Linked DNA regions of Notamacropus eugenii. The protein of the gene in region 1 interacts with the protein of each later gene in a pairwise test. Links are inferred from orthologs where the notes say so. Each region holds a gene or a part of one and is shown on either strand. Other genes may lie near its edges. The genes, in order: DTX2, NCS1, SPG21 and ALKBH4.

Region 1 (7,003 bases):
TTCTGGAATTGATTGTGTGACATGGGAGATATTGGTACAGGATCACTCAACATGATGCGCCCACGTCAGAGAAGGTGCTGTGCTCTGAAAGCAAAGCAGAATTGAAGTAGCTCAAAAGAAATGCGAGATGTGCAAATTTGGAGAATCCACCCCAAATGTTCTCATGGACTATTTGTGCCTGATCTGTGGTAGAACATTCTGAGCTCATATTGGTCTGATCAGCCACAGTCCAATATACTGCAACTTGACTCTTAGCATAATGATTTCATTTTGGTCCTCTTGGAGAATGAAGGACAACAACCAGTCTGTGAGATCTTGGTTGATTCCCAAGAAAGGTCAGAAGTTGCCAGCAATCAAAAGTAATACAGTTATTAATGAAAGGCATGCAGGCACTAGGGTCCTCAGCACTTTAGTTTCCTAGGAAAGTATGGGCGTTAGTGGTGCAAGCATAAAGTGGGCCTTGTACCCCACTCTAGAGTCCAGAAATCTGGGTCTCTGTCCTTATATCTGATTGCTGTTGTGGGGGCAGATTCACAAGGACCAAATGAGGCAGTCATTTTAGGGACATTCAATCAATGAGTGGCCAGGACTACAATGCCCTTTAGCAATGGCAGGGCCATTGGGATTAAGAACTTTTGCTAACCTTGAGTAAAGGGAGAGTATGTTTGCTAAACTGATTATGGTTAAGAGAGTCTAAATAAAGCTGGTTTAAATTAGAGGTGTCAGATTCAAATAGAAGTGAATTTATGCTCCATTTTGACTTAGAATACCACAGATTAACATCATCTATGTTACACTGTATTTTTTATTTATTTTTTTTAAACATTTCCCAATTACATTTTAATCTGATTCCTCCACTTCAGGGTGCATAAGTCTGATATCTCTGGCTTAAAGCAGCTGTGAGGTACCAAGGAACTTCCCAGAACATAGGCAGGTGAATCAGTAGTCAATTACAGTACCAGCTGGAGCCTAGCAATAGGCCATTTCTCACGGTATCTCAAGAACAATTGATACAAACCTCTTCTCCATCCCCTCCAGAATGTCTGCAACACACTCTCTCACAGAATCCGTGGGAATGTGGGCTCAAGTTTAGAGGACCCATATAGCCAAGGCAGATCCCTGGGAGTCCTTTCATTGGATCCTCAAGATGGTCCCCCTTAGGTGTGGTGTAGTTTTTCTGCAGAGTTCTTGGTAGCACCTTGAATTGGCATCCAGTCTGTCTTTGGTTCCTAAGGCAGACAGCCATGACTTGATCCAAGAATGCTGCCAGGATGCCAGCAGCAAGTTGGGAAGTTCTCCAGGACTCCAAAATTCACTAGGTTCTCCTCTGGTGTAAAGTGGGAGTGGGTGTGGAGACACTGTGAGAGGCCAAGGCCTGGAGCTCTTCTCCCCTTGCAGGAATTTAGCTGAGTATACCCTTCTCTCTGCTTTTTTGGACGTCCTTATTAACCCACTCCTGGTCTTTTCTATTTCAACCCCAGCAGGCTACTCATCCTGGGGATGCTTCTGCCTGGTGGCCCCCTCCTCCTATTAGTGAGTTCTTGATTAGAACCACCCTTTGGGGCAGCTAGGTGGTGCAGTGGATAGAGCACCAGTGCAAGAGTCAAGAGGACCTGAGTTCAAATCTCACCTCAGGCACTTTACATTCACTAGCTGTGTGATCTTGGGCAAGTCATTTAACCCCAATTGCCTCATCCTGGGTCATCTCCAGTCATCCTGATGAATGTCTGGTCACTGGATCCAGATGGCTCTGGAGGAGAAGTGAGGCTGGTGACCTGCACAACTCTCCCTCACTCAAAACAAAGTCAAGTGCAAGTCAGGTCATTTTTTCTCTGATGGCATGGTCTTCTTTGGCAACGAAGGATGAACACACAGAACCACCATTTAAGAAGTGCACAGGCCATCCATGCTCATGTCTCTCCTGGCTCCTCTCCTGACCCTCCAGACTTTTCCACCTTGCCCCTACATAGGTTGTGTGTGATTTTCCTCCATTGGAATAGAAAGTCCTTGAGGGTAGGAATGACCTCTTGTCTTCTCTCTTTCTCTTTGCTCCTCTCTTTGTTCTCTCCTTTTTCTCCCCTTTTTTCTGTTCTGTCTCTGTCTCTCTCTCTCCATCCCTCTTTCTCTCATTACAGTGTCTGGTACATAATAGGAATTCAGTTGATACAAACTGATTATCAGTGCTAAGACAGTTTCTTAGAAAACTGTGAGATGCCCCAGAAAAACTCCATCTCACTGTGAAAACCCAATTGTCCACTCCCCAGCCTCCACCACACTCCAATGTGGTGTATCTGACAGTCTGTGAAATCAAGTACCAACAGGGAGGTGGGGGTGGGGTGGGGGGTTCTGACCTGGTTTTCTATATGTCTCATAGGCCATCGCAAAATTTCTTCAACAAATAAGAACACCTTCTATACACATTACTCAAGTTGATTACTCAAGGACTTTTTTCATTACTTAGTCTAAAGCCTATGATTGGTTGGTTGATATGCTCCCAACTGGCTAAGGTTCAAGGCTGAGGCATAGAGAAGAGCTAGAAACAAGACACAGAGGTAGAGAACAGGACATATTTAGGGCTATTGAGAACAGACCAGTTTGGCTGGAGCTTAGAGTCTGTGTTTAGGCAAACAGTGCGAAATAGAGCAGAGAAGGTAAGATGGTGCCAGATTGTGAACCTGTCTCAAGTTCCAGGTTGCAAACGCCCTGGAGGTAATAGTCATGGAAAGGTTTGATAGCAGTGATAGGTGTGAAGGATTGGTTTGCAGGAAAAGACATTAAGTAGGTTTTGGACTTATTGAGTTTATAATATTAATGAGTCATTTAATTTTTTTATTGAATTACTTTATTTGTTTTCAGTGTTTGACAATCACTTCCATATACCTTAGATTTTTTCCCACTCATTCCCCCCTCTCTCCCCTCTCCCTCCCTGAGAGGGTGTACAATCTTATATAGGTTCTACACTCGTACATTCCTATTAAATTCTATGTTGCATAGAAGAATTAAAATGAATGGGGGAAACCATAAAACAAAACAAAACAAAACATAATATAATACAAAAGAAAATGGTCTGTTTCTGTCTGCCATCCAATTCCATAGTTCTTTCTCTGGATGTGGAAAGTATTTTGCCTCAAGAGTCCATTGGAAATTTTTTAAGCCCGTGCATTTCAATGAAGTACTAAGTCTACCAGAAAAATTCCTCCCACCGTGGCCCACGCACAAAATTCTCCTGGTTCTGCTCCTTTCACTCAGCATCAGTTCATAGAAGTCTTTCAGGCTTCTCTGAAGTCTCCCTGTTCATCATTTCTCCTAGCGCAATAGTATTCCATTACATTCATATATCACAACTTGTTCAGCCATGCCCCATTTGATGGGCACCCCTTTGATGTCCAGTTTTTGACTACCTGTCATTTGATTTGAAGATGTCCCATAGGAAGCTGCAAGACTGGACGTCAGGAAAGAAGTTAGGGGAGATAGTAGATTTGAGAATCACCAGCATAGAGTTCTTAATTAAACCTCTGGGTGCTGATGACATCACCAAGTGATGTAGTTAGTAGAAAGGGAGAACAGAGGAGTGCCCAGGACAGAATCCTGGGGGAACCTGGGGTTAGGAGGTATGATCTGGAGGAGGATCCAGCAAAGGAGACAGAGAAGGAGCGGTCAGAGAGATAGGAGGAGAACCAGAGGGAAAGGGATGTCCAGAAAACCCAAGGGGAGAGTGCATCAAGAGTCAAGAGGCCAGAGCGGTGGCCAGAGTCCAAGGCTGCACAAGCCTGGGAAGGTCACTGTGGCACGATGAGGTCAGAAGCCAGCTGCAGAGAGTTTACAAAGTTACAAAAGGGAAGTGGAAGGAGCAACTGTAAGCAGGTGGGCCGAGGGGGCGATGCCCCTGCCTCCAGGCACCACGCCTCCTTCCCAGCCGGCTTCTGGTTTCTGTTTCTTGGCCCCGCCCTCCGGGGTCCGCTCCGCCTTCCCGAACACGAGTCTGGAGTGCGCAAGCGCACTCGGGGCTCCGCCCTGCTCCAGAAGGGTCCGAACAGGTGAGGTGGCCGTGGATCCCCGCCCTGGGGACTACGATTCCCGGAGGGCCGCGCGCCGGGGCATGCGCATTGAGGGGCGGCGACGGAGGCGTTTCTGTGGAGCTGCTTCCCTTCACTCTGTGTGTCGCTCCGGTCCGTCGGCCCTGCCTCGAAGCTGAAGCCAGCTTGGACCGGACCGGCCTTTGCTGCCGGCCGGGCCGCCTGAAGCCCGGTGGCCCCAAAGCAGCCTCGAGCCCCGGTAAGAAAGCGCTGGGCGCGGGAGGGACAGGCCCGGTCCCGGGGTCAGGGGCGGGGTGGGGAAGGGGCAACCAGGGGGCGGACTGGGGGAGGGGGCGGGGGACCGGGTGAGGAGGAACCCGAGGGAGAGCCCTGGGGGAGGGGGCCCGGAGCGGCGACCCGAGGCGGAGGCGGGGGCGGGGCGGTGGGGGCGGGGCCCCGGGCCCGAAGGCAGCGCCGCCCGGCGCGGACTCGGGGCTCGGGGGCCGCCGTCGGAGCCCTCGGTCGGGCCGCTGAGCGGCGCGGGACACCCGGCCACATCCTCGGGCGCTGCCCGGCCGTTCGGGGGCGCGGGGACGCTTGCTTGGGAGTCGTCTCGGTCTTCTCCCCTTCCCGGGGCTGGGATGCCCGTTCTCGTTTTAAGTTTCCTCTTTTTCAGCCCTCTTTTTGTGGGGCCGGGCTGACTTCCCAGGCACTAGGGTAGATTCGACTTCCTGAATTCACGGCCAGGCTGCATTTTGCCCATTTTCCAATTCCACAATTCTGTTAGGCACCTGGCATGTGCTGCTCTCTTAGGCGTTGGGCATACAAAGAAAAAAATGAAACAGCCCTTGCTCTGCCCTTACCTCCTAGTGAAACAAACTCGTATAAATATTAGGGAAAAATACATAAAGAATAATGCGAAATAATTTGGAGGTCTAGCCAGGAACCTCGGGAGCGCCCCAGGCTCCCACAGACCAACTTAACCTTAACGGGAGAGTATTCTCCTTTGGTCATTACCTTCGTCTTAAAATTTAATTTGGGGAGACTTCCACAATGAACTTTAGAGATAGCCTACATCCAAGTTTCCCCAAATGTGTCCCAGGTTCTCCAGCTCCTGCTTAGGCACACAGGGTCCTAAAAGGCAGCTAGCTAGGTATAGGAGTCTAGAGAGTGCTGGGCCTGAAGTCAGGAACACCTAAGTTCATAGGGTGCTTCAGACACTAGCTGTGTGACCCTGGGCAAGTCACTTAGTCTCTGCCTTCCTCCATTCTAAAAGGGGATGATAATAATGGCACCTGCCTCTCCGGATTAAATGAGGTAATATTTGTAAAACTCTGAACACACCGGGCCTGCCGCATAGTTGTTCCCTTCCTTTTTCTAAAAACACATTGGGTATGGGACAACTGTAATTTCATACAGAAGATGTACAAGATTTAAAGGACTTAGAAAGCTCATGAACAAAAACAAATAAGCTCTCAAAGAGTCTATTAGATTTCCCCCACACCTCTCGTAGCATCCTTTTGGGGGAGGGGGTGAACAATCCTTCCCGTCATATCTGCATTGTTCAGTCAATTCATGCAGTAGCAGAAAGCATTGGCGAGGTCCAGGTCTCCTGTACTTTTTTTTTTTTTTTAAGGAAAAATTACAGGGTGAGTTCATACTAATGCCACTGCCTGCCACCCAACTCTAGGATTCCTGGTGGCTCAAAATCAAGGACCTGAGTGCTCTGCTGAGTGGCAGTGGCTGTGCTCATAACTCCTGTCTTTTTCCCATCTGACACATAGGGAGAGGAGATTTGATGTGGGTGCTCCGATCCAAGGGCTAGGGTGTGAACTTGGGGTATTCCCTCAGTTTCTTGCTGAGAAGAGACTTGTATGGGATCCAGTGGACTCTGGAAACGAATCTGCCTATGTTACCAGTGCCCCAGCTGCAGGGAGGCCGTTCAACAGCTGTGCTTCTGTTTCCATCGCTGCTGTTTTTCAATTAAAATCTGATCTCCCTTGTCATTGGTTGGCAGACAGACACAGATGGGCCTTGGAATTTGTGGGGCTGAGTCAGCAAGCCTTTGAGATTGGCCTGGTTTCTGTTGCTCATATTTAATATCAAAATGCAAATCAAACCAAGCCTTTCCCTTCCGTGTGTCTCCAGTTTGTGCCAGTTCTCTGGAGAGAAAAGACCAGAATGGATAGGATACTTTGGCTTTGGATGTCTCCTTCCCAAAGTGGCTTTGACAAAGGAGAGTGGAGGTGTGGGAGGGGAGGGGGGCTTAGGGTGGCTTTCTGCCAGCTGCTGGTGTTGAACTAGTCTTTGAAGATTAACTTTAGTGCTCTCCCACTTGGAGACTGACTCCCTCAAGTGAGGGCCACTTATCATGAAAGTCTCGAAGGGAAACTTGTGTTTTTGGTTTTTACGTGAAGGATGCATACATATATATATACATATATATTTGTCTTCTGGTAGCTTTTGGTGCATTCTAAAACAATCAAATCTCTTAATGCTAGGCATTAGAGAGGAAGTCTCCCGAAGCCACTTGGGGAGGCCCAGAGGCTACACTGTTGGGTTTCCTTATGTAATCATCCTGGTGACATGTCATATCATGTTGAGTTGCCTTTACTCTTACTCGGTCCTGCCTTAACTTCTAAGGTGGCACTGCATGTAAGAGTGAGGCTGAAGCCTGGTGGTTGTCCTGATGGTAGGACTTTGATTGAGGGAACAGGCTGTTAAGTCAGAATCAGAGGACCCTGGGCTGTCCATGGTTTAGATGAAAGTTCTTTTCTTCTCCATTAAAATCCTCTCTGATGCCTCCTAATGGGACAGACTAATGCCACTGCTTGCCACCCAACTCTAGGATTCCTGGTAGCTTGAATAAAGAGCCCCCACTGGGCTTTTAAAGACTGCCAGCAGAAGGCAAGCTTCAAAGGCTTCAAAACTTGCCTAGCTATGTTGGGAAATTCTTATTGCCAGATTGACCTTAGGGTGTTGAATTT
Region 2 (7,258 bases), on another chromosome or scaffold:
TCGATCTGCATTCAGACTCCATAGTTCCTTCTCTGGATGTGGACAGTATTTTCCATCATGAGTCTTTTGGAATTGTCTTAGATTATTGTATTGCTGAGGACAGCTAGGTCTATCAAAGTTAGTCATCTCATAGTGTGGCTGTGACTATGTACAATGCACTCCTGGTTCTGCTCACTTCACTCAGCATAAGTTCATGTAAGTAAGTCTTTTCAGGTTTTTCTGAAATCCACGTGCTCACTATTTTTTATAAAACAATCATATTTCATTACATTCATATACCGCAACTTGTTCAACCTTTCCCCAATTGATTGACATCCCTTCAATTTCCAATTCTTTGCTACCACACAAAGAGCTGCTACAAATAGTTTTGTACATGTGGGTCTTTTTCCCATTTTTATGATCTCCTTGGGATATAGTTTCCTCATATACCTAGTAGGGGTATTGCTGGATCAAAGGGTATAACAGTTTTATAGTCCTCTGCACATATCAAAAAAGCATCTATTAAGCACCTACTATGTACCAGGCATTGTGTTAAAGGTAAAAAAAGGAATCTATATTCTCAAGGAGCTCAGTATAATACAGGAGACAATATGCAAACAGCTATTTGCAAACAAGTTAAATACAGGCTAAATGGAGGATAATCAGCAGAGGGAAGACACTAATGCTGAGGAAGATTAGAAAAGGCTTTCTATAGGAGGTGGGGTTTTTAAAGTCAGGGAAGGCAGGGAACAGAGTCTTCACCAGGGTGGGATTGGTGTCAGAGGACAGAAGGGGCAGATGTGAGATGGGGAATTTTTTTGGCTCTACTTATACATTCATATAAGAGATGTTATAAAGGTAAAATCAACAGGAATTGGCACTAGATTAGATGTGAGGGTAGGGAATGAGGGAAGAGTTGAGAGGGAGGATGTAGGTTGTGAGTCTGGGTCACTGGGAGGACAGTGGTGCACTTCACAGGAAAAGGGAAATTGGAAACAGAAGAGGGAGGGACATGTTGAGCTTAAGACACCCATTTTGAGATGTCCAATAGACAGTTGGAGATGTTAGACTAGACATCAGAAGAGAGGTTAGGCCTGGATAAGCAGAACTGGAAATCATCAACATAGAGATGATAATGGAATCAATGGATTCTGAAATGGTATAGAGGGAGAAGAGAAAAAGGCCCTGGACAGAATCTTGGGGTTCACACATGATTAGTGGGCATGACCTCGATTAGTGGGCAATGAGGACTGAGAAAAAGTGGTATAGAGGGAGAAGAGAAAAAGGCCCTGGACAGAACCTTGGGGTTCACACATGATTAGTGGGCATGACCTCGATTAGTGGGCAATGAGGACTGAGAAAAAGTGGTCAGTTAAGATGAGGAGATCCAGGAGAGGTTAGTGTCAGGAAAACTTGAAAAGAAGAGAATATTGAGAAAAGGATGACTGATGGTGTCAAAAGCTGCAGGGAGGACAAGAATGTTGGGGATTGAAGAAAGACCATTAGATTTGGCAATTAAGAAATCATCAGTAACTTTAGAGTAAGAAGTTTAAATTAAATGATAAGATCAGAAAGCCATACTAAAGAGTCACAAAGAAAATAGGAGAGAAGGAGGAGTAAGCATGAAGTAAAGATAGTTTTCTCAAGGTGTTTAGCCATAAAATGGAAGAGAAATATGGGATGATGGCTATTAGTGATAGAGCAGTGTAGGTAAAATATATATATATTCAGGAGCCTCTCAGGTTAGTCTGTGGTTCTAGTAGAGTGGACAAGCTTCCAGTTGGACTCCATACATCATGATATGTCCCAAATCAGAACACAGAGGACCTGGGTGGCTGTAACATATGTCTTCACCTGCCTTTTTTTTTTTTTAACAGAGATAAATTTCAGCTAGGTAGTTTCACTGTGAGAGTGGATTGTGTTTGTCTTCTCTCATCCCAGGAGAAATAGGATCACTTCTTTCCCCCATTGAGCTTTGAATTCCAGTTGGCATCTTTCCAGTCACTGCCATTCCCAGAGGGATTTGATATATCCCTGGGACTGATATTTCTCTCTGTGTTTTACCACATTTTCACCTTAATAAGCATGTTTGTATATATGGATGGCTACTAGAGATGTTTGCATTTTCATAAAGTTGACTCAAGAGAATACCTCTCCAGAGGGATTTTAAAGTATCTTTTACCTAACATTGTAATAGTTTACATTTATATGACTCTTTGAAGTGTTCTATACATCATTTTGCTTGATCTTCACTATAGACTTGCTAGGTAGATAGTTTGAGTATTAAACTGATTTTAAGGATAAAGAAACCAAAGGCCTAATATACTTTCTGCTGCTAGACTGCCTGTAAGGTACATGCTCCCAGCTTTCTTTTTTAACCAGTCGTTGATCTATTCTCAAGATTCATCTTCACCAGTTTTAAGGAGATTCTTGGTAATTAAAGGTTAAAATAAATATTGTTCCTGCCAGATGCCAATGTTGAGCATATCTTGTTATGCTTTGTAACATGGTTGTGAATATTTTCATTAACATCACTGGAGCCCTTTGTTAGTGCCCATTTTCATCTCCATTTCTAATCTCTACCACACTTGAAAATAAGAAAGTTTGACTCTTCATGACCCCATTTGGGGATTTCTTGGCAAAGACACGTTTGAGTTTTTCTTGGCAAAGTGGTTTGCCATTTCCTTCTCCAGCTCATTTGACAGATGAGGAAACTGAGGCAAATAGGGTTAAGTGACTTGCCCAGTATCGAATTGCTAGTAAGTATCTGAAGCCAGATTTGAACTCAGGAAGATGTCTCCACCTAGCTACCTGAGTAAAGCACCCTATAAATGCTCTCATATCTGTAAAGCCAAAGAGTGGAACAAAATTACCTCTAAGCACTTTCAGGTCCAAGTCTATGAGCTTATTTCTTCTTTCTATTCATTGATATGATGGTTTGTAAGTATTCTCCAGTCATTTGTTGTCTATTACTACCTTCCCAACTAACCATAAGCTCCAAGCGTGTGTGTGTGTGTGTGTGTGTGTGTGTGTGTGTGTGTGTGTGTGTGTGTGTGTGTGTGTGTGTGTGTAGAGATAGACGCCACACGCAGGAAGCATGGAGGATGATTGCCTCAGTCTGGAAAGGGTAGCCCTCAATTTGGGGGTGGGGGTGGGAGGGGAGCAGCTTCTTAGCCTCTTCTGGGATTCCTGATTTCTCTTTCTCAGTTACATCTGGCTAATATAGGAAAGAACATTTATCTAGAGATGCGACATAAAGTAACATAAAATTATTTCGTGGATTGACCTTTCCCAATTCCTCCCCAGGAGCTGTGGAAGGGTGGGAAGAAAATTAGATTAAGGAGACAAGAGCAGAGAAGGAAGGAACAATTTACCCTCCTACATTCTTTAAAGTTTACAATGGCGAAACAGATGCAAGTATTATTTCCTATTGTACCGAGGAGGAGACTGAGGAACCAAAATGTGATTTGCCCATTAGTTATGGCAACTGATAAGTGTCAGAAGATTTTAAGTTGCTCGGAAAAGGGAGGGAAGGGTGTCTTTTTATTAGAGGAGGAAGGAAGAGGAAGGATCGAAGGGAAAAGGGGAGAAAAGGGAGATCAAAGGATCACAGATTTAAAGCTGGAAGGGACTTTATTAACCTTAGAGGTCATTGAGTTTAACGGTCCCCGCCCCCCCTCCCCCAAATTTACAGACCAAGAAACAGTCAGAGAGATAAAGTGACTAGGGTCTTGTCCAGGGTCACACAGCTGGTGTCTACGATTGGATTTGAACTCAGGTCTTCCAGACTGCAAATCCTGTCTAGTCATTACGCCACAGGAGAAGAAAAGAAAAAGTAAAAGGAGAAGATTGGAAAGAGGAATGAGCAGGGGAAAGGAGAGGAAGGAAGAGGGGAAAGGAGAAGGAATCTAGTGGATGGGGAGGAATGAGGGGAGGAAATGAAAGGGGAGAGTGGGTGCGGATGAGGAGGGGAGAAGCGGGGCAATAAGTAGGTAGGGAGAAGGGGAGAGGACCCCGCCCTGCCAGCACGGAGCAGCCGCGCTGACTGACGGCTTAGGGTTAACACCTCCTTCTAGGCGGCCGCAGAGCCTGGGCTAGCTGGTAAAGGCGGGGAGGGAGGAAGAAAGAGAGTGCGAGCGAGGAGTAGAGAGGGCCCGCGGTAAGGAGCATGTGCTAGGGAGTCCAGTAACCAGGGACAACCACAGCAACAGAGCTCCCTTGGAGGAGGAGGAGAAGGAAGAGAAGGAGAAGGAGGAGGAGGAGGAGGAGGAGGAGGAGGACGAGGAGGAGGAGGACAAGGAGGAGGAGGAAGAGAGCAGCCCCGCGCCCCCGCGCCTCCGGGCCTCCTCCAGGAGCCAGCGCACACAGCAGAGCCCCGAGGGCGGGCGGCAGGATTTGGGAACTGTAGGTGGAGAAGGGACTGAGGCTGCCGCCCCCGGGCCTGCGGAGCCAGCTCCCCGCGGGCTGGGCATGTAAAAGCCTCTCGGGATCTCTGTTCCCGGCCTCACTCCGAGTCCCTCCGGGAGCCCAGGGCGCGCGGAGCTCAGCGAGCTGGGACCTCGGTCAGCACCGAGAGAGCTGGAGACAAAGACACCCTAGAGCCCCCCGCCCCTGTCCCCTGCTCCGAGCCGGTGCAGGGCCGCCTAGGACGAGCCCCCGCGGCGGGACAGGGGAGAGCCGGCTGGGCCTGGAGCCGCTCCGGGGTTTATGCCCTAGTCGGTTCGGGCCCGGCGGGGGACGTGGCCGCAGAGGATGGGGAAATCCAACAGCAAGTTAAAGCCTGAAGTAGTAGAAGAACTGACCAGGAAGACCTACTGTGAGTAGGGAGGGTCTTCCCTCCTCTTTCCCCATCCCTCTTTCTCCTGTTCCCACATCTCGTCCCTTCCCCAATCCCCAATCTTTCCTTCTCCCTTCCCTTTCCTCCTCCTTTCCCTTTTCTCCTCCTCCTCCCTTCTCTTACCTCTTCTCTCACCCCCATTTTGCCCCCCTCCCCCATCTCGTCCTCTTTCCTTCTCGTCTCCTCCCATCCTTATCTGTTGCCCTCCCCACGCAGCTCTTTTCCGTCCTCCCTTCCATCCCTTTCTCCTTATTCTTCCTCGGTTTTTTACCTAGTCTCCTTCTCACGTTAATCCCTTTTAAACACCTACCCTTGTCAAGCTGCTGTGATTTAGGAGACGGGCTATGGGGGCATCTTTCTCTCCTGCTTCCAGCGTTCACACCTGGCCCCATTGTTCTGAAGTCTGATGCTGCCCCGCAGCTCTGACCAGGGTTGGGCCATGTGCTGTTGCTGTCAATTGTATTTTTATGTCTTAGTTTTCCCCGTCAGGCATTCCCTAACACTCCTCACACCTCAGGCCTGGGCACAGTGTGTCCTCGAAGGCCCACTTTGCTATTATAAAGTAGCTTCCTAATAACAAGATTATTGGTGCTGCTGTGACAGCGTGGATTGCGGAGAGAAACGGGGTGGGGTGGGGTGGGAGGAGGATTTTTTCATGTAGAGGGACTCCTGGCAGCATCAAGCTGGTGATCCTGGCAAATAGGTATTCGATTTGGGAGTAGCTCCAGAGGGTGGGTGATTCATGCATCACCGTGTACTGGCAAGGTGAGCTGATTCCCACCCCCCTCTCCTCCCAGGAGTATGTGGATGGGGGGAGGGGAGGGAAAGGAGGGTGCTCAGTCTGCTGGGAAGGTTCCTTCTTGACTGGGAGAATTTCAGGGAGAATTCTTCATTGACTTGTCCCCTCCTTGATCCTTTAGGGTTAAAAACTTAAAGTACCGAGAACTGGGAGAGGAGAGGAAAAGTTGTTAATTCCATCCTCCAGTCTCCAGGTCTAATCTGCATAATGTGTCTCTTCATACCATCTTCATCCCTTGCATGACTTTCTAACTTTTCAGCTTCCCCTAATGAGTCCCTATCTCTGTCCCTCAATTCATATCCTTTCTGTATCTGCCTTCCTGCCTCTCTTAGACATGATCTGCAGGCTAAGTCTTGTTAATGGCAACTTGGCTATAACCACCTTGGCCTTTGCATATTTCTAGCACTTTGTGCTTAGGGTTATCAATCTGCTTTCAGAACCTATGGCTTCCCTATAGGTTTCTTGGGCTGTTTCTTTTTCTTGTGAAGGCCAGATAGCTGCCCTTATGCCAGTCCTCAAGCTCCAGGCTTCTCTGCAGGAATGGCAGGCACAGAACACCTGGGTGTCATTCTCACTCACCACTGCAGTGCTGCCTCTATCCATTCCCCTCCCCCTCAAACCCAGAAGGCAAGAGATTAACATCCTTCAGGTCCAGGGATGGAGGAGAGTCAGGCAGGCAGGCACCCGTGGTGCATTGCACAACCCTAACTAACCCTCTTCGCTGCTCAATCAGACTGCTGGGCAGCATGGCATTGTGAGCCCATACCCAGCCTCTATTCCCTTTTAGCCAAGCCTAGATGCTCAGAGAACAAAGGGTCAGGTTCTAGCACCAGATTGCCTGTTGAACAGGGCTTACTCTAGCCATTTCTATGGGTCCTTAGTCCTTGGAGTTTCCACTGGGTGAGATTATCTCAAAATTAAAATTCTAGTGTTTAGTTTCTTGATGGATAGAGGGAACAAAGGGCTAAGAGCTGTGTCCTTAGCTAATGTGTTACAGAGTGGGTGGGAGATTGAACTTCTTTTAACATCTCTATTCTGCTCTTTTGGATAAAGGATGAGTGGTATGGTATGGTTGATGTGAGCCAGAGGCTTGTGGCTTATAATATATGAAACAGTCTCTTTCAGTTGGGCTGCTCTCTCAGTATCTTCTGGAGGGTCAACTGGAGAGCTTCAAATTCTGGTCAGAGGTGGGGCCTCCAATGCAGGATGACAATTCTGGGTGACTTTTTTAGATCCCTTCCCTCTGTAGGGGAGAATGGCTCCCATCAGCTAAAGAGTGCTGAAATTCAGGTCATCCCTCTTATAACCTGGGAACTTACATTAACTAGGCTTCTTTCAAAGTGCCCAGGGCAGGGAGCCCAGTAATTGGGGAACTATGAGATGGCCCTATTCATTATGAAAAGTCCATGGCAATAATGTCCAGATAATAATTGTGGAAAGGGAATTCAGGGGTTATCTAATTCAGCCTTCTCATTTAAATAACAATAGCTTGTATTTAGCTAGTGCTTAGAGATTTGTCCAGTACTTTTTATTTACTTATGTTATTTCATTGATTCTCAAATCAAACTGAGGCCCCAAGATTGTTATGGCTTGCCTCTTACTAGGGATAGAGTCTGGATTCAAATCTAGATCCTCTGATCCCA
Region 3 (7,985 bases), on another chromosome or scaffold:
CATGATACACAAAAACATACACATACACAAACATGATCTGCTACATTCTGCGAATGACTTCCATATTTCTTTCTCTGAGTGTGGAAGGCATTTTGCCTTAGAGAACCACCACTGGGATTTTTTTTTTTTTTAAGAAGTTCTTGTGTTATTACGAAATTCCAAGTCTACCAGAAAAAACTCTCGCACACTGTGGTCATTGCTGTGCACAAAGTTCTCCTGGTTCTGCTCCTTTCTTTTTTTTTTTTTTTTATTAATTTTTAACATTTATTTTCACACAATTTTGGGTTACAAATTTTCTCCCCTTTTATCCCCTCCCCCCCCAAACCCGAGCTTTCTAATTGCCCCTGTGACCTATCTGCTCTCTCCTCTATCCTCCCTCCCTGCTCTTGTCTCCGTCTTCTCTTTTGTCCTGTAGGACCAGATAGCTTTCTTGACCCCTTAACCTGTATTTCTTGTTACCCAGTGGTAAGAACATTACATTTGGTCCTAACACTTTGAGTTCCAACCTCCTTAGCTCCCTCCCTCTCCACCCCTTCCCCTTGAAAGACAGGCAATTCAATATAGGCCATATCTGTTTAGTCTGCTCCTTTCACTCAGCATCAGGTCATATAAGTCCTTCCAGGCCTCTCTGAAGTCTTCTTGTTCATCATTTCTTATGGCACAATAGTACTCCATTACATTCATATACCATAATTTATTCAGCCATTCCCCAATTGATGGACATCCCCTTGACTTCCAGTTTTTGGCAACTACAAAGAGTGGTGCTATAAATATTTTTGTACATGTGGGACCCTTTCCCATTATTATGATCTCTTGGGGATACAGTCCTAGTAGCAATATTGCTGGGTCAAAGAGTATGCACATTTTTGTAGCCCTTTGGGCACAGTTCCAAATTGCTCTCCAGAATGGTTGAATGCGCTCGCAGCTCCACCAACAATGAATTAGTGTTCCAACTCTCCCACATCCTCTCCAGCATTTATCATTTTCTTGTTCTGTCATGTTTGCCAATCTTATAGGTGTGATGTGGTACCTCAGAGTTGTTTTGATTTGCATCTCTCTGATCAATAGTGATTTAGAGCATTTTTTCATATGATTATAGATATCTTAAATTTCTTCTTCTGAAAATTGCCTGTTCATATCCTTTGACCATTTATCAATTGTACCCCCCCTTTTTTTTTTTTACAAAACCAGGTTTTCTGTTCCCTTTTGCCTTTCACGTGCTGACTCAGCTTGAAGTTCTTACTGTATGTGAGGCTGTGGCAGTAAGACTTATTGCTTTGGAAATTCTGAGAATCCATAGGGTTATTTGTTAAAAGCATACTTCATGGACATTCTGGTTTTCAGCTAAGTTTCTAACAGATGACAGTATTGTGAGAACCATCTGGTGGACCCTACCCACAACAGCTGCCAACCCCTCTTGTGAACTATTAAATCAACAGTGAGCATTTTTTTGTATCTTAGCCATGCAGTCTCCTTGTGCTTAAGTGGGCTTCTGTCTTTGAAAAGTATACTCCAAACAGCTGTGAATTAGAGGCAGCTGGAACATATAGATAATAAATGTATCTTACTCTTGTAAAGATTTAGAGAACATACCTACCATTTGTTGTTGCATAATTAAAAATATAAATGTCAGCATATCAGTGGTATCCATTAAAAGGAGATACAATCAAATTATTCATTATGTGTTTGGCCCAAATATTATCTTTAATATTAGAAAAGGAAAGTTTTCACAGCATGTATAGATAAGGCCTGGCAAATATGGACGTATCAGTATTTTGTGTTGTGAGGGAAGTGTTGTTGCTGGCAAAAGGGGTGGGTAGCATTGGAGATTTAGGTTCTATAAAACCTAGCTTCAGGCCTATCTAGCATCATTATAGCATCATAGTATCAGAGAATTTTAGAATGATTTGTAATTATGAGATTGGCACTGGAAAAGAATTGAGAAAATATATATCCTTTCTTTGCAGAGGTTGGAACTCTGGAGTGTAGAATCTTGCAAATATTGGCAGATATAGTTACCAGGTTATCTGGTTTCCTGAACCGTTTTTTTTTCTCTTTATTTTTTATTCTTTGATATAAGGGATTAGCTCATTGAGAGTAGGTGGGATATATTAAGGTAGTTAAAGCCAAAAGGTATTTTAAAATATAGAGCTTTATCATTGGAAGAAAAATTTAAGATACTCTCATAAGATGGTAGGCTAATACCACTTCATGTTTATGTATTAGTTGACAAATCCATTTTTTCAAATAACGCTGAGAGGCAGGTAGTACAAATTACGGGTGTAGAAATTAAGGCCTCGAGTGGACTAAGTGACGTGCCTAAGGTCACATACCTAGTAAGTACTGGAGACGGGACCAGGTGGTCTGACTCAAAGTCTCAGTCTTTGTTCTGGGCACCATGACTCAAATTGTATTAGCTTTTGGGGATTCCTAAGTTATACTGTTGACTTGTATTGAGTTTCCAAGTCCTAGGTCCTCTGCAGATTAACTGTCATCTAACAATAACTACCAACCTTGTATTCCTATAGTTAAACTTTATCCTATTCCACTGGGCCCATCATTTTATTAAAATTTTATCTTTTGTTTTTTATGCCTATATATCTCAAATATCCCTCCCCAAGACTCATTCCCTGTAATCAGTGATTTTTAAAAGAAGAAAAAACTTAACAAAATCAATATATTTTTTTTAAAGTTTGGCATTATAAGCAGTGTTCCACACTGGGTTTGGGAGTTAGATGGTGCTTTCTATACCCTTTCTTTGGGGCTAAGTTTGGTCCTTATAATCTCACAGTATCCAGTTTTCATTTTGTCATCCTTCCATTTTCTTTGTTGTGGTAATTAAGCATGCCACTTTCCTCATTGTTTCACTTTGCATCATTTCAGAGGTCTTTCCACACTTCTCCATAATCATCATATTCATTTGTTATAGCACAGTAATATTCTATTACATGCATATCAAGTTAACAAGCATTTATTTATTAAGCACCCACCATGGGCCAAGCATTGTGCTATGTTCTGGAGAGTCAAAGAAAAGTAAAAAACAATCACTGCTTTCAAAGAGCTCACAGTTTAATGGGGAAGACAATGTGCAAATAATATATTTATAAAGGATATGCTGGGGATAATCACAGAGTGAAGACACTAAGAATATGGAGAACTAGGAAAGGCTTCTTGCAGAAGATGGGACTTAAACTGAGCCTTGAAAGAAGCCAGGGAAACCAGGAGGTGGAAATGAAGGGGTACTGGGGGTGGGGATGGCGAGTGAAATGTATAGTCAGGAGATGGAGTATCTAAAGGAACATCAAGCATCACTTGATGGAAGCATTTGTGGTGGAGGGTAAGGTACAAGAGAACTGAAAAGGTAGAAGGGACAGTTATGAAGGGCTTTGATGCCAAAGATTTTATATTTGATCCTAGAAGTAATAGGGAATTATGGGGGCTTATGAAAGTGGGGCATGTGATACAGTAGGGTCTATGCTCTAGGAAGATCAGTTTGAGAGCCGAGTGGAGGATGGACTGGAGTAGGGGGAGAGATCTGAGGTAGGGAGACCAGTGGGCCACTGCAGCAGTCCAGGAATGGGATAATGAGGGCCTGTACCTGGGTGGTGGCAGTATTAGGAGGGAAGGGGGCATATATGAGAGATGTTACCAATGTAGAAATGCCCAGACCTGGCAACTGATTGAATAGGAGAGACAAGTGAGGAGTAAAGGATAACCTCAGGGTTGTAAGCTTGGGTGACTGGGAGAATGATGGTACTCTTGGCAGTAAGTAATAAGGGTTAGGAAGAATGAAGGAGAGTTTGGGGGAAGATTTTGGACTTGCTGAATTTGAGATCTCTAGTCAGAGATGCCTAATAGGGAGTTGGAGATGAGAGACTAGAGGTCAGGAGAGAGGTTAGGGCTGGACAAACAGATACCAGAAACATCTGCATGGAAATTCACGGGAGTTGAGATCATCAAGCCCAATCATCCAGAAGAGGAGGACCTAGGGCAGTCTTCAGGGACACTCATGGTCAGCAGACCTGCCCTAAATGAGAGGGAGATGGAGCACTCAGACGGCGAGAGCACCGAGACACAGAGAGACTGTCAAGGAGACAATGAGGACGGAGAGCGGCCCGCTGGTTTCAGGTGAGCGCTGACGTCTGAAGCCGCACCTGCCGAGAGTTCAGCACGTGTTCGGCACGTGTTCGGTTCCCAGTTCTTCACTTTCACACAAAGTACGGTGGCACATTGCGGGGCGCACAGTGCCTTTGTGTCCTCTGGTTGGCCCGTCACTTCAGACTGGAGATCTGAATGCGGAGTCAGGAACTCGGCCACGTTTTTAGCTGGCGGAGCGCAGCGGGAAGGGCCAGACCCGGGGCCAGGGCGGGGGGCGCGGGGCTCCAGCCACCTGCCGCTGGATCTTGGATGGGGGGGTGGACCAGACCTAGGCGGGGCGTTCCAGCATCACACCTCGGAACCTTGCTCCCACAGGGCATCTCTTCAACACTCCCTGTCAAGCGTGGGGGGATGGGTGGTTTGGGGGGGACGGCAGGAGCGCGGGGCGCTCACTTCGGGGACAGGCCGAGGCCTCCTGGGGCTTAGACCTAGGGCTAGACTGAGCGACTTGGCGGCCAGCTGCGGGCAGTCCGCACGGGCCATCCCGGGCCGCTGCCCCAGCCTCACCCCAGAGTCCGGTCAGACGGCCGGTCACTCTGATGCTCCCACGCGGCCGGGGAGGCCAAGCTCGCCAGTCTCTCCCTCGCGCCAGCGGCAGGGCTCCAACGGCCCGGGATCCAGGAGCATCCCGCCGCAGTCTCCGTAGTTATGGAGACGACGGCCACCCCACGCGGACTTCCGCCTCACGTGACGCCCCGCCCAGCGCGGCCCCGCCCTCGGCCCCGCCCCCGGAAGCGGCGCGGCCCGGCGGCCCGGGACTGTTGGGCGCCGAGCGGAGCGCGGTCCGGCCCGCACGGCTGCGCGCTCCACCCCCGGAGGCGGCCCCTCCCCCCCGCCCTGCCTGTCGGCTCGGCCTTGGGTACGGACGCCGAGGCAGATCCGCGGCCTGGGTCCGCGGCGGCTCGCCACGAGAAGCCGGGGCTGGGGAGGGAAGCGGGGGCCGGCCTGCGGCAGGTGAGGGAACCCGGGCTGCGGGAGGTGTGGCCGGGGGCGCCGGCGTGGGAATGGCCCTGGGACGGTGGGGGGGGCGCGCCCCCCGCTGCGGGTCTGGGACTGGGGACCCCGGGGGAGGCGCGCGGGGCCGCATCCTTAGTGCGAGAGAACCCGGGTTCGAGTCCCGCTTCCGACACCCCGGGCAAGTCCCTTAATCCCTGAGGCCCTCGCGACTCCCCGAGACCGTAAGTTGCAGGGCAGGTCCCGACCCTGCGGTGCCGTGTGCTGGTCCTGTGCGTGCAGACACGGCCTCCGGGGAGGCTTTCCCAGCTTGCGGTTCGTGCCTCGGGGCACGCAGGCAGGAAATGCTGGTAGAGACGCCGGTGGTGGTTGAACCGACTCCACGACCTGCTCCGGGCGGGGGCATCGGCCCGGGTGGGACGGGCGCCGCAGGAATCGCCGGTTGGAGCGGCTCGCGTGCGGGGATGTTCCCGACCCGCAGAACGCGCCCTCCGCGGCCGCCTTGCCTCTGCTGGATACTTTGTTACTCCTGGAGACTCGCAGAGCAGTAACTTAGTAGCCGTGTGCGACGCCTCGGGGGTTGTCACGCCATCCGCTCTGCCTCCCCCGGGCCAGACAGCAAGAGGAAACGGCCTGAAGTCGCTGCAGAAAGGCTGGAGGCAGATGTGAAAATGGATTTACTGAAAACTGGGGGGAAGGTTTCCCTGGCTGTGACTCTGGCCCATTGACGTTGGTCTAGTTAGGTTGGCAGGTCTGCCAGGAGCCCCCCGAAAAACGAGACTCTCCTATTAACATTATTTTTGCTGTCACTGTCAGTTTACACATACAGGCTTTATTCACGAGGTGTAGTCATGGCCTATAGACTAGGATAAGGGACTTGAACTGCAAGTGAGGACAGTGACATTTCACTTCACGTAAGCTGAAAACCATTATTTGGATTCCAAGGAGGCAGGTGCTCATCATCTTGAAATCTCTTACAAATGCCAAGCATCGTTAAGGGATAGGTATCGGAGGAATCTGGGATTAAACGGAAGCTTTGATGTTTACACATGCATGGGTTGGGACTAAAAATGTAGTGCATTACTTACGGAAATGGAAAAGAGCTTTTTTCTCCCTTTAAGTGGTGGAAAATTTAACCATGTTTTGATTTGTGCCCTTTGCTGATTAAACCTAACCAGCGTGGTCAGACTGTTAAGCTTTCATTGCTCATAGTTTATCCCCCATGTGAATTGGAAAAGTTAAACCCTCTCTAAAGGGATGAAAAGGATCTTTGAGAACAAACTTTCCTTTTTCACCCTGTTAGTTCCCAGCTGTTTTCTTCTCCCAGCTGTGAGGCTTTTTCACTAAGCAGTCAGTTGCTCAATCAACACTTGGTATCTCTTACCTTTCGTATACTGCCAGAACAGCACAAGTGTTAAACATAACTTGCCTTGAGCGGTAATTTAGTCCCTGTCCAGGGAATCATTAAGTCTAGAAGTCTATAGTTAAAATGAAATAATTTTTTTCTACATTACCAAGAAATATTGGTAAGAAACATCTTTTGTTTATAATATGTATATTTGATTATGATATGCTTTGGGAAAGAAGTTAAGGATGGGTATGATGTCAGTGTGTGTGTAAATACATATTTTTCTGCCTTTTGTGTCTTTGCAGTTCCAAACTTAAGAGCTCATTTTGTTCTCAGTTTGGTGATTTGGAAAGCTCATTTATTGGCCTTATTATCTATTATCTTATTATCTAAAATTATCTAAAATCAGTTTTATAAATCTAATAAGTAGTTTTCCATTCCTAAGCAAGATTAGAATGTTGCCTTCTCAGAAAAGACAGTTTATTTCTTGTAATGTAATTTTGTAATGGAACTTTAAATTCATTGTAAACTAAGTAGATTTTTTTTTTAAATGACAGTAGCTTGAGTCCATTCAGGTAAAAATTAGTGTGCCAGATGCCTTAATTTTGATAAAATGACTAGCCCAAAGGATTAAGATTGTAGTTGGGGAATGGGGATGGATTTTTTTCACCTTTAAATATACATTCTTAAGAATTAGAAATGAATCCAAGCAGAATGAAATTTCTTTTGCTTATTACAAATTTTTAATGGCTACCTTTATGCATTCGATAACCTCTTTGGGTTTTTTGTTTTTGCAAACTCTCTCATGTCCTGTCCTAATTTACCCTTTGAGATCAAATTGAGATGATAGGCAAGTGTCTCGATTGAGAATGAAATGTTAATGTAAGAATATCCAGCTTTAATTACCTTTTTGAGTCACATACATTTTGTTGGTAGAACCCTAAAGTAACACTTAGTTATCTGACAGAGCCTATAATTTGTGGAAACAAACTGCTCTAGCGTCCTGTTTTTCTTAAAGGCAGTTTGGTTCCAGGCCTCTCCGTGGTTAGAGGCTTTGGGTTGGGAAGAATTTTCCACTTACGTTTAAGTGTAGCAAGTTGCCCAGATCTAGGCTCCCCATAGTCCAAAGATCCCACAAGTTACAAGACCCATCTTCCCGGGTTCTTAGTTGATTTGTGGAGTTAGAGGATATAGTAGAGGAAAGTAATTATTTGCAGACTTTCCTGAGTATTGGGTTATGTGGTTGTGCAGGTGTTAATACTGAACTTAATTAGAATGCTTCCTATGATTGTATCTGAAACTTCTTGCAGCTGATGAATGTGGTGAAAGTTTTTGCTAATTAATTAGAATATAAAACCAGTAACTATTTTTAGGTTTCATTGTAGATCAGTAAAGAAGAATATTGTCTTAAGACTGGCCAACTGACCAAATATCATAGAATAATTGTAGTAGAACTAGAAATCATGTGGTCTGACCTCATATTACAAATGAGAAAACTAACCCTCAGAGACGTGAAGTTACTTAT
Region 4 (7,144 bases), about 200 kb from region 1:
GCAGGACTCGATGGTGCCACGTTTGGCTTCCGGGTTTCAAGTGTGCTTTTCTTAAAACTGTGTGTTTTCAGGATCAGTAGCGCTGTTGGGTCCTGGACTCATTTCTTGACAAATCTGGGTACTGGCTCCCTTTCTCTAGAACTGTCACACAGGTTTTCCTTGGAATGACAGAGCTATTTCCAGGAGTTCCTGCCCTAGTTCTTCCTGCTTTCCTCCAGGACAGAACTCAGCTGACAGTTCTCGGAAGGTGGCACAGATTCGGTGGCTTTCAATGTGCTGGCGGTGGATGGCATGTTTCCACTGATAGCGGGCAGCCCCAAACAACACGAGCAGGGACCTGGCGGGTAAGTGAATGGCCACTTCCACAAGGTCACACGGAACAGATCTCCAGGTGCTCTGACCCTCCTCTGGGTCTCCCATCTTTGTGTCATTGGGCAAGGAGTTCCCTGTTCCCTGCTGGGACACAGAGAGTAACTGAAGTCTCTCATCTGAATCCCGAGACATAGATAGGACTGTTGGTGAGAGCAGATTGAGGCTGACTAGCCGCTCTCCCCAGAGCCAGGAGTCATCCAAGTGGGGGTCGATTGCAGAGCCTCGTTCAGGGTGGTAGTCCAAGTTACACTGTTCAACTGGAAGGAACCTCTCCAGGATGGGGTGAACCCCCATCCTCTGCACAATTTCCCGACTGAAGCTGGGCAGGCCATCAAAGCTGCCAGGTTTCAGCTTCTGTTTCCTAAAATTGACTCTGGGGCCATAGTCCTATAGAAAGGGGAAAACAGAAGAGGGCAAGGAAAAAGGAATGGTGATTTTCACTTAAAAAAAAAATTTCACAGCCAGCAATTTCCTTATCAAACAAATCTGAAGTAAGTGCCTAAGGAGTTGAACAAAGATATCCAGGTAGAATGGATTTCTAACTCAAATGTCTGTAGGCCTAAACTAGCCATGGTTCAATGACAGCCACTGAGCCCTGTATCTGGGGGCCACCAGTGCTCCCCTATCTGTGCTATGGGGCTTGAGCTCCCTGCACACCTTGGGAGATGGTCTCTGGGGGCTGCTCTGGCCAAAATAATTGCCACTTGATGAGCCCTCCAGTGAGCTGATTCCCCAGACAAATGGTGTTTCTAGCTGGACACCTTTCTGGCTTGGTAGGATCCACCTGAGCTTGGGCTTCTGCTGAAGAAGACTTCAGGGGAGGGCGTTGTTATCGGTACACAACACAGCTGGGAAGTGCTATAACACAGCAAGATGAACACTAACGGCAGAAGGGGATAGCAACTTCCATCAACCACCTGTGGCTGGTTCCATTTGCCACAGAAACAATTCTGCAAATGGTGATGCATAGGCTGTACCTGTTTCCTTCTTCCAGACTGTGAAAGTTTCCAGTCATCTTGATCCATTAACCGAACCAGTTCAGCTTCCTCCTCAGCACTAACAAAGTTTTTTATCAGAGATACTCCTGGGAAAGGAAAAGCCCAGCCAGCAAATTCTGATTTCTCTGTTCCTACAGCCAAACCCGTTTCTGAACAGTAGATGAAATGGGCTGTCTTCTGCAGAGGAAAAGACAGAAGCAAGGTCCTGGAATGAGCAAGTTTCATTTTCAGGGGTCAAGTCTCCATGATCATCTTCTGTCCTCACCAGGGAAGGAAGGAAACAAGCACTCATTAAGCACCTTATACCTCATTTGATCCTTACCTTGGGAGGGAAGTGCTATTATGATACCCATTTTACAGAAGAAGAAACTGAGGCAGACAGGTGAAGTGGCTTGCCCAGGCTCACAGAGCTAGTGTCTGAGGCTGGATTTGAATTCACTGCTCTGTTCCCAGCCATCCCTGGGTAGATAATCTCAATCCCATGTTCTTTTTCCTGAGAAGCTGGAAGTTTAACAATCTATTTCTCTCTCCCCGGTTCCTGGGTTCTAGCATATCCAAGTCTCTCCTCCTCTGCCCATTGCCTGCTCCCCCTCTATCACTGCCCCCCAGCCACCAGCCCCTCCTGACTCAGTGTTCCCTGCAGCCCCGGGGCCCCCAGTTTCACTGATTCTTCTTTTCCCTCCTCCCCCATTCTTTCTTCCAGCCCAGGCCCATAACTGTTTCTCTTTTAGGCAGGAATCCTGAGGGTCTTCCCCTCCCAGTTTGATTTGGTTTTTTTGGATTAAAGAGGCCATCCCTTGAGTAACTTAAAGAAGCCTATTCACTGAATGGGTGTAGAAGTGAGAATGCTAGAAGACCTTAGCCTGAAAGGGCCAGGGTCTCCCAGTGCATCCTGGGCCATCTCCAGTCCTCCGGACCAACATCAGGCCACTGGACCCAGATGGCTCAGGAGGAGAAAGTGAGGCTGGTGACCTGCGCAGCCCTCCCTCCCTCAGACCAAAGTCAGCTGCAAGTCATGTCACCATCTTGATGTCACGGTCCTCTTAGAAGGAAGGACGAACACAACCATCGGCCCTCCCAAGACTCCCCCGAGAGGCCCCGCAGGAATCCCATCCTCGCTGACCCGGACCGCACAGACGCGTGCCCGTCCCACCACACGGTGCAGCCTGGTCACGGGGGCGGCCTTGGAGGAGGGGGGCCGTCCGGCGGGGCCCAGCAGCGCCCGAGGACGGCTCCCACCGGCAGTGGGGACTAGAATGGGCAGGGCCGCCCGTCCCACGCCGCTCATCGGGGCGGCAGAGCGGAGACGGAGCACCGCAGGAAGGACAAGGGCCCCAAGCCGGGCTGGCGGCGGCCGCCAATTTCAGGGCTCTCGGCCTCGGTCTGCCCGTCTGTGAAATGGAGCTGACGACGTCTCCGCCCCCACGAAGCCCCTGGGGTGAAGAGCCCCGCCCGAAGCCACACAAGTAGGGGGGTGCCCGCCCAGGCCCAGGCGCCCCTCCCCACCGACTCCCACCTGTGGGGGCAGGGCTCCGGGCACGCCGCCGCCTCGCTCCCGCTCGCACAGCAGGCAGGTCCGGACTCCTTTGCAGCCGCAGCCTCGAGGCCGCGCCCCGCAGCCGCTCCGGCCCCCGCCGCCCGCAGCCGCCATGCCGGTGCCCGGAACGCCGCCGGGCGGGCAGCCTCAGCGGGGCGTGTGCGCAGGCGCGAGCCGCGGGGGCCGCTGGGAGAGGTAGTCCCGCGGGGCCAGGACACGTGGGATCCTGCTCGGCCGGGCCCTTTTCCGGCCGGCGCCGCGCGAACCTCTCCAGCTCGAACCGCCGGCAGAGGCCGAGGCCGCGCTCCGAGCTTTAGCGTCGCCTCCGTCCGGGCCCCGGGTGAGCTCGTGGAGACAGCCCCAGGTGGCGGCCAGCCTCGGCGTGCAGGGCCTCGCGGCGGGGAGGCAGCGTGCGCCTGCGAAGGCCGGCGGCCATGGGCCGGCTCAAAACCCCGCTGCTACTGCAGAGGGGCTACCCCAAGTCCGACCGGCTCGGCAGGATCAAGAAGCTCGAGTAAGGCTGGGCGGGGACGTGCGCGCGCGCGCGTGCGCGTATATGTATGTGTGCGCGGGGGAGGGAGGACACGCGTGTGCGTGCGTTAGCGTGGTGCGAGTGTGCGCGTGCGCGCCCGTGTTCCTCCGCATGGTGCCTTTGGGGGCCAGTGTGCGTGCGTCCCTGCGGCGCTTCTGTCTCTGTGTCCCCCTCTGGCTCCTTGGTGACTGCGTGCGCGTGCGTGTCCGCGAGGTGCGTTGTGCGCGTGCGTGTCCGCGAGGTGCGTTGTGCGCGTGCGTACGCACACTGCCCTCCAGCTGCTTCTGCCTGTGCGGGTGTCCGCACCCTCGCCGCCACGCCCCCAAGCCCCGGAGCCACAGGTGCTAAGGTGGCCACCGCGATGACCCCCGCCCCCTCCGTGCCCCCGCCAGCTGCCCGGTGTGCTTCTCTGCGTGCCCACGTCGGTCTTCGCTGCGGGGTCCTGTGCCTGGCGCAGCTCAAGCCGGGCCTGAGGGTCAGGGATAGGGCCCCTGCCCGCTAGTGGCCACCCTGGAGCCGGGGCCCCCTGCCCCTTGGTGTCCACCCGCTGGTGCCCGTTCTGGTGCCAGGGCCTCCTGCCCGCTAGTGCCCGCCCTGGTGCCGGGCCCGGCTCCCCTCCGTGTGACTGTACTTTCCGTGGTACCCCTGCTGCTGCTCGTATTATGCAGGCTGCTGGAGTCCCTGCCCCCCTTCCTGCCCAGGGCTGTGACTGGTGCTCCAACCCTCCTCCTGCCCCAGTGGAACCGAACTGTCCCTCACTTGTTATGGAGAGCCAGAAGAGTGACCTGGGCAGAAGGGACGACACAACTCCCTTCCTTGAATGAAGGGGTTCAAAACTACTTTTGACCCTTGTCCCTGTGTGCCCCAAGCACTATGTCCCCTCTCATCCTTCCCCCTGCTTCCCCCTCAGTCAAGGAGAGGGCAAAGCATGCTAAGGACAGACCCTGCCCTCAGGAAGCTCACCCTGTGGTGGGGGAGACCAGACACCCAGAGAAGAAAGCCCCCCAGTTTTCACCAGACTGGGGGGAGCCCAGCCCTTTAGACCCTCCACCCCCTCCCCCCTTTTCCCCACCACAGTTTGTCAAACCTTCAGCTTCAGACAAAAGACCTGGACCTCAAACTCCTCAATCGAATGAAGCAGCTGAAGGAGCTGGATCTGTCAGATAACCTGCTGGAGAAGGTGCCTGAGGGCCTGGACCTGCCCTGTCTGCAGGTCCTCAAGTGCTCCAACAACCAGCTGGAGGATGTCACCCCCCTGCAGCAGTTTACAGCTCTGGAGGAGGTGGATTTCGAGGACAACTTATACCTGACGGTGAGCTGGGGCAGGGGTCATCCACCGGCATTTCTTTAGGAAGTGTCTACTAAGTGTGCGGTGCTGTGGATTATGGGAAGAGTGAGGGATGGATGGAAACAGGCACAGAATCCAGTAGGAGAACCTGAGTTCAGATTCCACCTCTGACACCTTATGACCTTACTGGTCTCATGTTAGAAGTGCAGAAATTCTCATTTTCTCATCTAATTGAACAGGATATTTCTTAATCCAGTGCTTTCTCTCTGTTGATTATTTCTTATTTAGCCTGTGTGTAGCCATGTCTCTTTAAAAACATACATAATGTGATATACAAGCATATGTGTGATGTCATGCATTTGTCTGTTTATAGCACATGTGTGTTACACATGTCTTGTGTCATGTGTATTATATTGTTTAATTTTATGTAACCATGTGTATACATAAATGCATGTACATTAAATACAAGCACACCTGTACTATAATACGTGTATACGTAGGTATAACTGTTTGTACGTCACATGTTTGTGCACAGTTGTGTGTGTTGTCTCCCCATTACACTTACAAAGACCATCTTTTGTTTTTCTCTCTATCCCCAGCAATTAACATGGTACCTCGAATATAGTAGGTGCTTAGTGAGTGTTTGCTGATTGACTAGATGGTCCTCAAGAGGCCCCTTTAGCTCCAGGTTTAGGATCCTGTGCTGGGGACTGTAAGGGATGCACAGCCACCAGGAAGACCAAACAGGCCCTGCCCTCAAAGCACATGGAATTCATAGAGGGATAACACATCTGTGAAGGAATATTCAGAATAAGTAAACAGTAAACACAAAGTAATTAGGAAGGAGGGCTCTGGGGGAGGGCTGGGGGTCAGGAAAGGTGTCTTGTAAAAGGTGGGAGTTGAGCTGAGTGTTGAAGGAAGAGAGGGATTTGGTAAAAAGGAAGAACATTCCAGGAATGGGAAGCTTGTAGTCTCATCTAGAAGCCAGGCCTGGCAGAAGAGGGAACGTGAGCTGGGAAGGGGCCCTCTGTGCCAAGGCTGGAGGAGAACCCAGAGCTCAGGGAGCTTACAAGTGGTGCCTGTGGCAAAGCATCATGGTCCAGTGGGAAGGGGACCAAACTAGCCTGGGCCTCAGGAGATCCGTCTCTGCCACTGACTTGCTGTAAGGAAGTTATTTAAGATATCTGGGGCTCAGTTTGCTCCCGTGTAAAACTGATGGGAGCTAGGGAGGTGAGGAGAATTTAATCAGCTGGTCTCTCAGGGGACATTTACCTCTGACATTGGGACTTGGTAGCTTGAGGTCTGGATTGGTGGCAAAGATTGCTTGTTCCTGAGCTTGTCTGTATTCACCCCCAGGTCAATGACAATTACAAGATCTCCTCTCTACTCCCTAACATCAGAAAAATTAATGGAAAGGAAACAGCCTCACTGATGAATCATGTGAAGATCCTGAACCGGGAACTGACCAGTCGAGTAAGGATGGCAAGAGGTCAGGGTGGGGAACCTTTCAGGGGCCGTGCATAAAACTTCCTGCTGGATGTTGTAAGCTCAAGAAGTTCCCCTGAGGTCAACAAGTGCTTTCTCCCCCCAAAATATGATTTGATAGAAACACCGAAAGTGTTGCTAATGCTGTCCTCACAGGTCAGATAGTGGCCCTCAGTACGCGAATTGACCTTTACTATATGTTTACAGATTTATCATTTTGGAGTTTGTCTAAATAGGGGTTCTTAACCTGTACGGGTGGATAAATTTCCAGGGGTCCTTGGCTATAGATGGAAAAAAAAATTATATCCTTGTTTTCATTCATCTTTACCTGAAATGTAGCATTTCCTTTGATTTTTAAAACGTCATTCTGGGGGGGGCGTGGTTTGTGTCCAGCAGAGGCTTCACCACTTTGCCTGCCAAGGGGTCTGCCCTGGCAGCTGTCCCGGGGGTACTCTGAGGGAATGGATGGTCCAGGAAATTTAGTCTATTGTAATTGCTGTTAATAGGAATCTTCACCATCTCCCTGCCTGAGGAAACACAGTATCTACTTCAGTATTTTGATGTAGCTTTAGGCCCCCAACACCAGCCATCTTTGGGATGGCCCGTAGGCATCTCAAACCCAATGTATCTCTAGTGGAATCCATTGTTTTTCTCACTGAATGCACTTCTGCTTCCTTCCTTTGTTCTGTTGAGGGTTCAACCATACTTGTAGTCACCCAAGTTTAAAACCTTGGAATCTCTCTCTGTCATCTTCTCACCAAACTGGTCTATTCGTCATCTTCTGTGGACACTATTCCATCTCCCACATCATCAAATCTTTGGACAGGCCATTTCCCTTTTGCTTACAAGGTTCTCCCTCCACATGATTGCCTACTGGAATCAACCCAAACTTGAAAAATCCACATTTCAGCTCACCTATCACTTGATCATCC

What was found.
Region 2: the proteins of DTX2 (region 1) and NCS1 interact in binary tests that used the Homo sapiens proteins (3 or more experiments, as listed by UniProt). The two-hybrid records come from large-scale screens. The link is inferred for Notamacropus eugenii from reciprocal best matches to the Homo sapiens genes DTX2 and NCS1.
Region 3: the proteins of DTX2 (region 1) and SPG21 interact in binary tests that used the Homo sapiens proteins (3 or more experiments, as listed by UniProt). The two-hybrid records come from large-scale screens. The link is inferred for Notamacropus eugenii from reciprocal best matches to the Homo sapiens genes DTX2 and SPG21.
Region 4: the proteins of DTX2 (region 1) and ALKBH4 interact in binary tests that used the Homo sapiens proteins (3 or more experiments, as listed by UniProt). The two-hybrid records come from large-scale screens. The link is inferred for Notamacropus eugenii from reciprocal best matches to the Homo sapiens genes DTX2 and ALKBH4.

The regions. Positions count from the first base shown.
Region 1 is NC_092873.1:51,444,218-51,451,220, forward strand, and holds the start of DTX2 (probable E3 ubiquitin-protein ligase DTX2), read left to right. Parts: upstream 1-4,002; 5' UTR 4,003-4,275; intron 4,276-7,003. UniProt on the Homo sapiens protein: Regulator of Notch signaling, a signaling pathway involved in cell-cell communications that regulates a broad spectrum of cell-fate determinations.
Region 2 is NC_092872.1:481,788,524-481,795,781, forward strand, and holds the start of NCS1 (neuronal calcium sensor 1), read left to right. Parts: upstream 1-4,246; 5' UTR 4,247-4,731; coding exon 4,732-4,795; intron 4,796-7,258. UniProt on the Homo sapiens protein: Neuronal calcium sensor, regulator of G protein-coupled receptor phosphorylation in a calcium dependent manner. Directly regulates GRK1 (RHOK), but not GRK2 to GRK5. Can substitute for calmodulin. Stimulates PI4KB kinase activity.
Region 3 is NC_092872.1:127,366,290-127,374,274, reverse strand, and holds the start of SPG21 (maspardin), read left to right. Parts: upstream 1-4,976; 5' UTR 4,977-5,112; intron 5,113-7,985. UniProt on the Homo sapiens protein: May play a role as a negative regulatory factor in CD4-dependent T-cell activation.
Region 4 is NC_092873.1:51,643,132-51,650,275, reverse strand, and holds the start of ALKBH4 (alpha-ketoglutarate-dependent dioxygenase alkB homolog 4), read right to left. Parts: upstream 3,022-7,144; coding exon 2,887-3,021; intron 1,548-2,886; coding exon 1,350-1,547; intron 760-1,349; coding exon 145-759; 3' UTR 1-144. Other genes in the region: LRWD1 (leucine-rich repeat and WD repeat-containing protein 1), read left to right, coding at 3,342-3,421, 4,517-4,751, 6,084-6,200. UniProt on the Homo sapiens protein: Dioxygenase that mediates demethylation of actin monomethylated at 'Lys-84' (K84me1), thereby acting as a regulator of actomyosin-processes.